Oryctolagus cuniculus: one gene and its partner. Each later gene encodes a partner of the first gene's protein in a complex. Links are inferred from orthologs where the notes say so. Each region holds a gene or a part of one and is shown in the gene's direction. Other genes may lie near its edges.

Region 1 (3,806 bases):
GATAAGCAACTTTTACACATAGAAAGCTGTCATTTCTTGGCTCAGACTCTAACTCCTTGTTAACCTCTGTAATAGTCTGTAAGTAGAAACTACAGTAAGAAGCTGCTAAATTGAAAGTGGACTGAGAACTGCATTCTATGTGGAAGAGAGTTCTTGTTAACGTTTTCCTGTTATTTGATGGTACTATGTCGAAATACAATTGTAGACCATGTGGCAGTTATTAAAAAACAAAAAGAGTAGAAAAAGAGATTGAGGTAGGCAACATTATTAATTTTTTTAAGAGATTGATTTATTTGAAAGGCAGAGTTACAGAGAGAAGAAGGGAGACACAAAGAAAGCGAAGGATCTTCTGTCTGCTGGTTCACTCCCTAAATGGACACAACAGCCAGGACCAGGCCAAACTAGGAGCTTCTTCTTGGTCTCCCACGTGGGTGCAGGGGCCCAGGCACTTGGGCCATCCTCTGCTTTTTTTCCAGGCACATTAGCAGGTAACTGAATCAGAAGCGTAGTAGCCAGGACTGAAACCTGCTCCCATATGGGATGCTGGCATTGCAAGCAGTAGCTCTACCCTTTATCCACAACGCCAGCCCCAATAATGATCTTTAAGTCACTAGCACGATAGGCATGCTATACAGCAGTAAAGGTAGTTGAGAACACATAAGAGAGGTGATAGGTCAGCAGATTTGTATTAGATGTTGATCGTAAAACAACCAAGCCAACAAAATCTTACCTTTTCGTAACAACGTAACTGAAAGTTAATTGCTATTCTTTTAAATACTGAATTAGTTTTATGGTTCTGTTAATGAGCTTGCATAATAAGGAAAGGTCTAGTTACCATAGAAAAGGATTATGGACTTCAATAGAATACATATACTTGAATGCTTATGATTGTGTATTCTCAAAATAATTGATTAATGTTAAAGCTTTATAAATGTAAAGTAACTATCTTTCCAGTATTTATTATATTATACAATAATAAAACTTAAAAGAACCAATTACCTATTATATTCAGGCTACTCTATAGTACAGTGGATGATTTTTTTTTCTTTTACAGTAACCCATGTTTTATGTATAAGTTGTTAAATTTCCTGGAAATAATTTTTTGGAATAGGGGCTTTATCTTGATATCACTATGATATTAAATGCTAGTTAGGTTCTTTCTTTTGTTTTTAAAATAGAAGCACTACAAACTTAGACATTTGTAATACAGGTTGATAGATTTGCTTAGTGTTTAAATCTTTACAGTTTGAAAAACATCAGAAACAAAGGCTTACTTAGTTTTCTCAAGTATTTATAATTTTGTGATAATTTTAAAATTTCTACATGCCAACAGTTATTTTCAAGATAACCTTAGCCTTCCAGATAAAATAAATTTTTTGCATGTATGTCATAGTCTTATAAGTCTTTCAAGTGAATGATTCTTTCATCTGAACTGCATTGCAAGTGCCCACTATCACCTTCAGATGATATTTAAAGAGGGGAATTATGATTGTTTACCTAAAAAAAGTTGTATGTATGTATGTGGATAAGTGTAAAATAAGGAAGAAATTATGGAAAGATAGTCTGTAACAAACTTTTTTAATCTAGGAAGCTAAAATAACGGTGTTGTTCTTTTCATTCTTTGGAAAGAAAAATATAAGTCTGAACTTCAAGTGATTTTTTTTTATTAGCACTTTCAATATAGGCCTGCAGACATACTGCAACATAGATTAGCCTTATTTATTGTCAGGTACTTCCTAAGCTGATTGTATGATTTAATGCTACATGCCTTGGCTCTGAGTGGTTTGCTGAAGTGGTACTTATAGTATTTATGCAGTGTTCTCATGGACAGAATTACTGTTGTATTCTCCACCATGACATTGAGTGACAGTGTTTTTTTCCTTTATGATAAATGAAAGTCACTTCAAATATTTTTAATTTATGTTTGAGGATTAGTAATTCATACATCACAGTTTCTTATTGTGTTCTTGTAACAGGATTTGAAACACTTGAAAGTATTATGTGAGCAAATTTTTTATTTTTATTTTTTTAAAGATTTATTTTATTTGCCGGCGCCGTGGCTCAATAGGCTAATCCTCCACCTGCGGCACCGGCACACCGGGTTCTAGTCCCGGTCGGGACACCAGATTCTTTCCCGGTTGCCCCTCTTCCAGGCCAGCTCTCTGCTATGGCCCGGGAGTGCAGTGGAGGATGGCCCAAGTGCTTGGGCCCTGCACCCCATGGGAGACCAGGAGGAAGCACCTGGCTCCTGCCTTTGCATAGGCACGGTGCGCCGGCCGCAGTGTGCCGGCCGCGGCGGCCATTGGAAGGTGAACCAACGGCAAAAGGAAGACCTTTCTCTCTGTCTCTCTCTCACTGTCCACTCTGCCTGTCAAAAAAAAAAAAAAATATATATATATATAAGAAAAGAAAAAAGATTTATTTTATTTAATTGAAAGAGTTACAGAGGGAGGCAGAGACAGAGAGAGAGGTCCTCCATCCGCTGGTTCACTCCCCAGATGGCTGCAACCGCCAGAGCTGCGCAGATCCGAAGCCAGGAGCCAGGAACTTCTCCCGGGTCTCCCACACAGGTGCAGGGGCCCAAGGACCTGAGCCATCTTCTACTGATTTCCCAGGCCATAGCAGAGAGCTGGATTGGAAGAGGAGCAGCCGGGACTAGAACCGGCACCCATATGGGATGCTGGCACTCAGGCCAGGGCTTTAATCTGCTGCGCCACTGCGCTGGCCTCATGAGCAAATTTTGTAAATTAAAAAACTATTTTTGTTTTAAAGTATATAAAGTTTGAACAGGGCTTTGGCAATAAATAAACATGGGTATACCCTGACTCGTGTATATATTACTCTTCCCCATTGTCAGAGATTTTTACTCTAATGAATAGTTTCTCTTCCCCAGAACCATCTTTTTTTTTTTTTTTTTTTTTGCTTTTCCAAGAAATTATGGATAAAAGAAAGAAAAGAGAATTACTATTGATGTTGAAAGACACATTCTCTGTAAAGAGCCACCAAGACTTTTTAGTAAGATCAAAAGTTCACATTAATTTGTGCAAACTAGTCTTTTAAAGAGTGCTTTTTGCATTTAGAATATATTTTTCAACCTGTGACTATTGATCTTTGACTTAACTTTATAATTGCATTCATCTGTTTTGTTTTTGTCATATAGATGACAGTCGAACTGCAAGCCAACTGGATGAATTTCAGGAATGCTTATCCAAGTTTACTCGATATAATTCAGTACGACCTTTGGCCACGTTGTCATATGCTAGTGATCTCTATAATGGCTCCAGCATAGTCTCTAGGTAAGTGTTGAGCACACTCCTTACTATTATCATTTGTAAGAATACTAAGAATCTAATTGTATTTTAATATCAAGTATAGCATTTTTATTAAACACCTGAATTCTGAATTTATCTGCCAACTTAAAGTTTTGTGATCTTAGGTAAGTTTCTAAATCTCCCTACTCCTAAATTTGTTCATAATGGAATGATTAATAGTATCCATCTAACAGGATTACAGTTGGTTCTCTTATAGTATTTAGGTCTAATTTTAATCACAGGTCTACACTTCATTTTTCTGGAAGTTAGTAAATAAAATAACTATCAAAGGTTATTTATAATATTGACTTCATGTATACACTGGTCTATAATTATGTGGCTATACCTTGTAATTCAAATGAGAGCTCTCTAGTTGTGTTGATCTGTGTCCCAGAACATCATGAATTTAGCCTGTATTTTCTTCTTCCATTTAAAAAATATCAAAACTTCTTTCTTAATATCATGTTATAATAATAGCATCTCTAGAAGATGTGA
Region 2 (4,584 bases), on another chromosome or scaffold:
AATAACCCTGAAAGACCAAGAGCATAGGTGGGCTCCCTCCTGGCCACAGAACGAAGCGTGCTGCTGGAGCCCTCCCTTCGACCTCTCAGACGGCCTGGGCTGGCTCAGCTCCCCACCACCCTTGCAGCCAACCCGGCTCTTCCCTACACCCCTGCCTGGGCTGGCCACCAGCACTGTTCACAGCCACCCGGACCTGAGCAACGCTCACACAGTCCCACTGGACCCCAGCTCAAGGGTCTTCTGAGTCCTCCCTAATGCCTCTTTTCCCCTACAAATTGCCATCTCTCTGTTGGGTCCCCAATGATGTTAAGTGCTCAATTGCTCCACCACTGGTGAGCTATTTCCCCATCTTTCTGGGTCTCAGTGTTTTCCTCCGTGACGTGGACTAGAGGAGGTGGTGGTGGTCCCACAGGTTCCACGCTAGGCACAGGGACTCCCACCCTGGAGGCCGCATCTAATTCGAGCTGTTATTGCTGCTTTAATTTTCATCTATTAATCCCCAGCGCCTAGCCCTTAGTAGACGCTTAGTGTTTGTTGAATGCACGGAGAATTAATAAGGAAATGGATGTATTCCTAGGGCTCTACCTGGTTTTAGAAAGTTAACGATTTAGCAGAAGTTCAAGGTCGCCTGCCTTGGGCGTTCAGGGGCTCCAAACTGACCAGGTTCCGATTCCGAGCTGTTTTCACGGAGCTCGGCGCAGGGTCTGGCGCACACTTTGCGCTCACCCTAAGCACTCTGCAGCGTCCGCGGGGCCGTGGCCGCAATGACTGCCCCGCCTCCTCCACACCACCTACCCCGATGCCCAGGCTGGCACCCGCGCCCCAGACTCCGCGGCGCGTGCGGAGGCCCGGGGAGGGGCAGGGATCCGGCGGCCGCGGCCACGTGGGCCCCTTCCGCCCGCTCCCACATCCTTTGTTTCCCACCCGCCCGGCTCAGGAAGCTCTTTCTGCGAGTCACCGCGAAGGGGCGGCCCGGGAGCCTGGAGAAGCTATTTCCGTGCAACCCGGGCGGCGAGGAGGTGGAGGCGGCGCAGAAGGCCCCGTGTTTGCTTTCGTTTCGTCCAACAGAAGGTTCTATTTGTGGAAGCGAACAGACGCTGGGGATTAGAGCTGGGAGGAGGCAGGAAAAGGGAGGGGGGAGCCACATCCACTACCACGCACAGGTCTTCCCCGGAACTACCGCGTGGGGGTGAATGACTGTCTCTGGAACTCATCACCCTCCCCAGGCTCCCTCCGCACCCCCACCCCTCTCCTCTGGCTGCAGCCTGGCCGCCCACGGCTCCAACCGGAGCTCCCCAGGTGCTGGGCTGCGGGGGGATCCCCGGGGCCAAAGGCGTAACCGCGGGACCGCAGCGAGCGGCGGGTGCAGAGAACCGCGCCGCGCGTGCCCGCGGCCCATTGTGCTCGCTGTGAATGAGGCGCGCGCACCAATCAGCGGCCGCTTCGCCCCCCGAGGCCCCGCCCTCCCGCCCACTTCCCCGAGACCCTGACGTCACGGGAACTTTTCCTCCGCCCCCTCCTTCGGCCGCTCGCGCGGAGCCGGGGGCCTGCAAGGAGGGCGCGCGCCGCCTCCTGCCCTGCCCAGCCCGGGGGCCGAGTGCGCGCGCTCCGGGCGGCCCGGGACGCACCACCTGCGCCCGAGCGCGCGCCGCTCCGAGCATCCCAGGCCCGCGGGCCACCCCCCGCCCCCCAGCCTCCTGCCCCTCCCCCCCAGTCTCCTCCCTCCGCTCCGGGGACTGCTCGCCGGGTGGCGGAGCCGGAGTCGTCGCGGCCACCTCATTGCACAACCCGGCTCCCCAACTGTTTACACAGGCCGGCCTGTGAGTGTGTGTGTGTATACAGCGTGAGTCACCGGGAGGCGGAGGAGGTGGAGGAAAAGGAGAAGGAGGAGTGCGCTGGCCGGGATCGGCGCGGCGCACACACTCACTCACACTCAGTCACTCTCTCCGAGCGCGTCGCGCCCGCTCGCACACGCCCGCAGTCCAGGAGCGCGCGCAGGACCCCCGGGCGCCGCGGAAAAGTTGCTCCGGCTTTGATTGCTCCGGGACGTGCATTGGCTCCGCGGCTCTGCGCAGCCCGCGGAATCCTGTGCTCGTGGCCCGGGACCCCGGGAACGCAGGCCGCCGCCGCCTCTGGGACGGTCGGCAGCCTCGGCAACAATAGCGGCGGCCGCCCCCTGCGAGGGGGCCCCAAGTCGGCGGCCGCGGGGGTCCGAGGACCTGAGCCGGCCTCCGCCCCCCGGCCGCTGAGCCAGCGTGGTCTCCGCGTGTGCACCCGACAGCGCCGAGCAGCCACTCCCGCTGTGGCCCCTGTGGGGGCCGAGCCAAGCCCGCTCTGCAAACTCCATCCCGCGGGCTGGAAGAAGTCGCGGCGCCCTCGCCGAGCCCGCAGCGCCTTCCTGCGCGGATCCGGGGACTTACAAAGCCGGGACCGCCCCGGCCGGGGACGGGATGCGGGCCGGTCCCGTGCGCTCTTCCATGAGCGGCGCCTCGCAACCCCGGGGCCCGGCCCTGCTGCTCCCGGCCGCTCGGGGCACCCCGACCAAACGGCTGCTGGATGCGGACGACGCGGCGGCGGCGGTGGCGGCGGCGGCCAAGTGCCCGCGACTCTCCGAGTGCCCAAGCCCCCCGGACTACCTCAGCCCCCCCGGCTCGCCGTGCAGCCCGCAGCCCCTGCCCGCCGCGCCGGGAGCCGGCGGCAGCTCCGGGAGCGCGCCGGGGCCCAGCCGCATCGCGGACTACCTGCTACTGCCCCTAGCCGAGCGCGAGCATGTGTCCCGGGCGCTGTGCATCCACACCGGCCGCGAGCTGCGCTGCAAGGTAGGCGCCCCGGGGAGCACCCGGCGGGGGGATCGGGGGCGCGGGACGCGGTGCCCGACGTCCCTCCGACGCGGGGGGCTTGGGGGCAGGGCGGGTTGGTGCGGGGAGCCCGACCAGGCGGCCATTGACCGAGTTCACCCTTTTGGAGAGAGGTGTAAAGGGGGGATTCGCAGGCAAGCGGAAGTGCAGGGTTCAATTGCTTTATAGTCCTTGCTTGGCGCTGAGTTTAGCGCGTGGCGTTCCCATATAAGTTGTGGAATTGCAATGGATTCCAGGGCCATGCCATTCCCCTTCTCTCATTCTCCTCGCCGCCCCGCCCGCCCGCCCTTGCCCTGGAAGGACGCCCCGCAGTGGGTGCCTGCTCGGAGCCGGGAGCAGCCGGCCGCCCCCTCGCCGGGGCTCCGCTGCGGCTGGGAAGACCTGGGCCGGCCCGTGCCCTGGGGATTCCGACGGGAGCCCGCGCTGGCACGCGAACACCGCCCTGCCCAGGGCCGGTCCGGGGCGGGGGGTCTTCCAGCCGCGGCGGGGGGAATTTGCCCGGAGTCGGAAAGTGGGGAACCCCCCCCCCCCGCCCGCTAGGCGTCCTCGCTTCCATTCACTTTATTTTCCGGTCAGCGGTTTGCATTTGCACCGCAGGGAGGAGGAGGTGGCACTGGGACAGGCAGAACCCGCCGGGTCCGCGGCCGTCCCCGCCCCTGGAGGCTGGCACTGCGGTCGCAGGCTCCCCTTGAGGAGCCGCCTTCCGCCCACCCGGGCTGGGCGCCCCCAAGTTAAACTTGCTCTTGGATTTTCTGTAACTCACCTGACGCCCCTCTGCCCCCGCCCCCCAACCTTCCTCCAGGGCTTGCTGCTGCCACCTACCGTCCTACCCTTATGAAATTGCAAATGTACAACCAAGCCCAGGTTTTTAAGCGGGGAGAAACCTTTTTCGGTGACTGGGGCTGAGAGCTGTTCTGGGGAAAGCGGGTGTGTGTGTGTGTGCTGTGGGGTGGGATAGGAGGCGGAGAGGCAGCAGCAGGAGGCAGCCAGGCCTCAGAGGTGGGGTGGGTCTGGTCGTTGTGCAACCCCTTCCAGTTCCTCCAAGCAGATAATAGCTGAATCCAGATGGTGACAGCCCGTGTGTCACCGTTTCCAGTTGAGTCTAGGATATGAGTAACCGGACTAAACAGAGGGCCCTTAAAGAGACCTGCCAGCTTCTTAGGGGAGATGCTGCCGGTTCCTGGAGCGGGGTGGGTGGGAGGGGGCCTAAACAAACAATGGAACAAAGAAAAACCATTGGGACGGTCCAGTACCCCACCTGTGGGAACTGGCTGCACCTGAGTCACACGGCAGGCGGGTCGCTTAGTGCTGCCCGGTCACAGGCTGTCCAGCCAAGTCATTTGTTCCTTCTGACAGCTCTGTGGCCCCCGCTTCCCCTGGGAGGCTGCGGAGTCACGGGCCGGTGCCTTCTCTGGGCTGAACCCTTTGCCTTTGCAGGAGACACATGCACTTCCTGCAGGCCCTTGCCCGCGTGCTCTGCAAACCGGGAAGGGCCCCAGTGGGTGGGAGCTCTGGGGGCTTAGCTCTCAGGGTCCCTGGAGAAGACTGACAGGCGGGCACAGAAGACTGTTCTTTGAAACCGCTCATGGGGGGGGGGGTAGCTCTCTGGATGCTTGCTAGCCTTAGATGTCACTGGCTGTGAGGGTACTAGGGGTCCCTGGGGCAGCATCAGAGATAAGGAAGCCACATGCATAGAGCTTCCCCAAAGCCCAGAGATGGAGCACTT

The links.
Region 2: the proteins of COP1 (region 1) and TRIB1 are in contact, whole or in part, in a crystal structure (PDB 5IGQ), measured with the Homo sapiens proteins. The link is inferred for Oryctolagus cuniculus from reciprocal best matches to the Homo sapiens genes COP1 and TRIB1. Residues at the interface, in NP_071902.2 of Homo sapiens: Ile423, Ser425, Val441, Lys472, Tyr491, Trp517, Asp534, Ala556, Asn557, Cys559, Ala576, Asp577, His578, Lys600, Ala601, Ser603, Thr618, Lys643, Asn644, Phe645, Phe699; in NP_079471.1 of Homo sapiens: Asp355, Gln356, Ile357, Val358, Pro359, Glu360, Tyr361.

Annotation. Positions count from the first base shown.
Region 1 is NC_091438.1:4,281,346-4,285,151, reverse strand, and holds part of COP1 (E3 ubiquitin-protein ligase COP1), read left to right. Parts: intron 1-3,160; coding exon 3,161-3,296; intron 3,297-3,806. UniProt on the Homo sapiens protein: E3 ubiquitin-protein ligase that mediates ubiquitination and subsequent proteasomal degradation of target proteins.
Region 2 is NC_091437.1:151,043,443-151,048,026, forward strand, and holds the start of TRIB1 (tribbles homolog 1), read left to right. Parts: upstream 1-1,706; 5' UTR 1,707-2,450; coding exon 2,451-2,819; intron 2,820-4,584. UniProt on the Homo sapiens protein: Adapter protein involved in protein degradation by interacting with COP1 ubiquitin ligase. The COP1-binding motif is masked by autoinhibitory interactions with the protein kinase domain.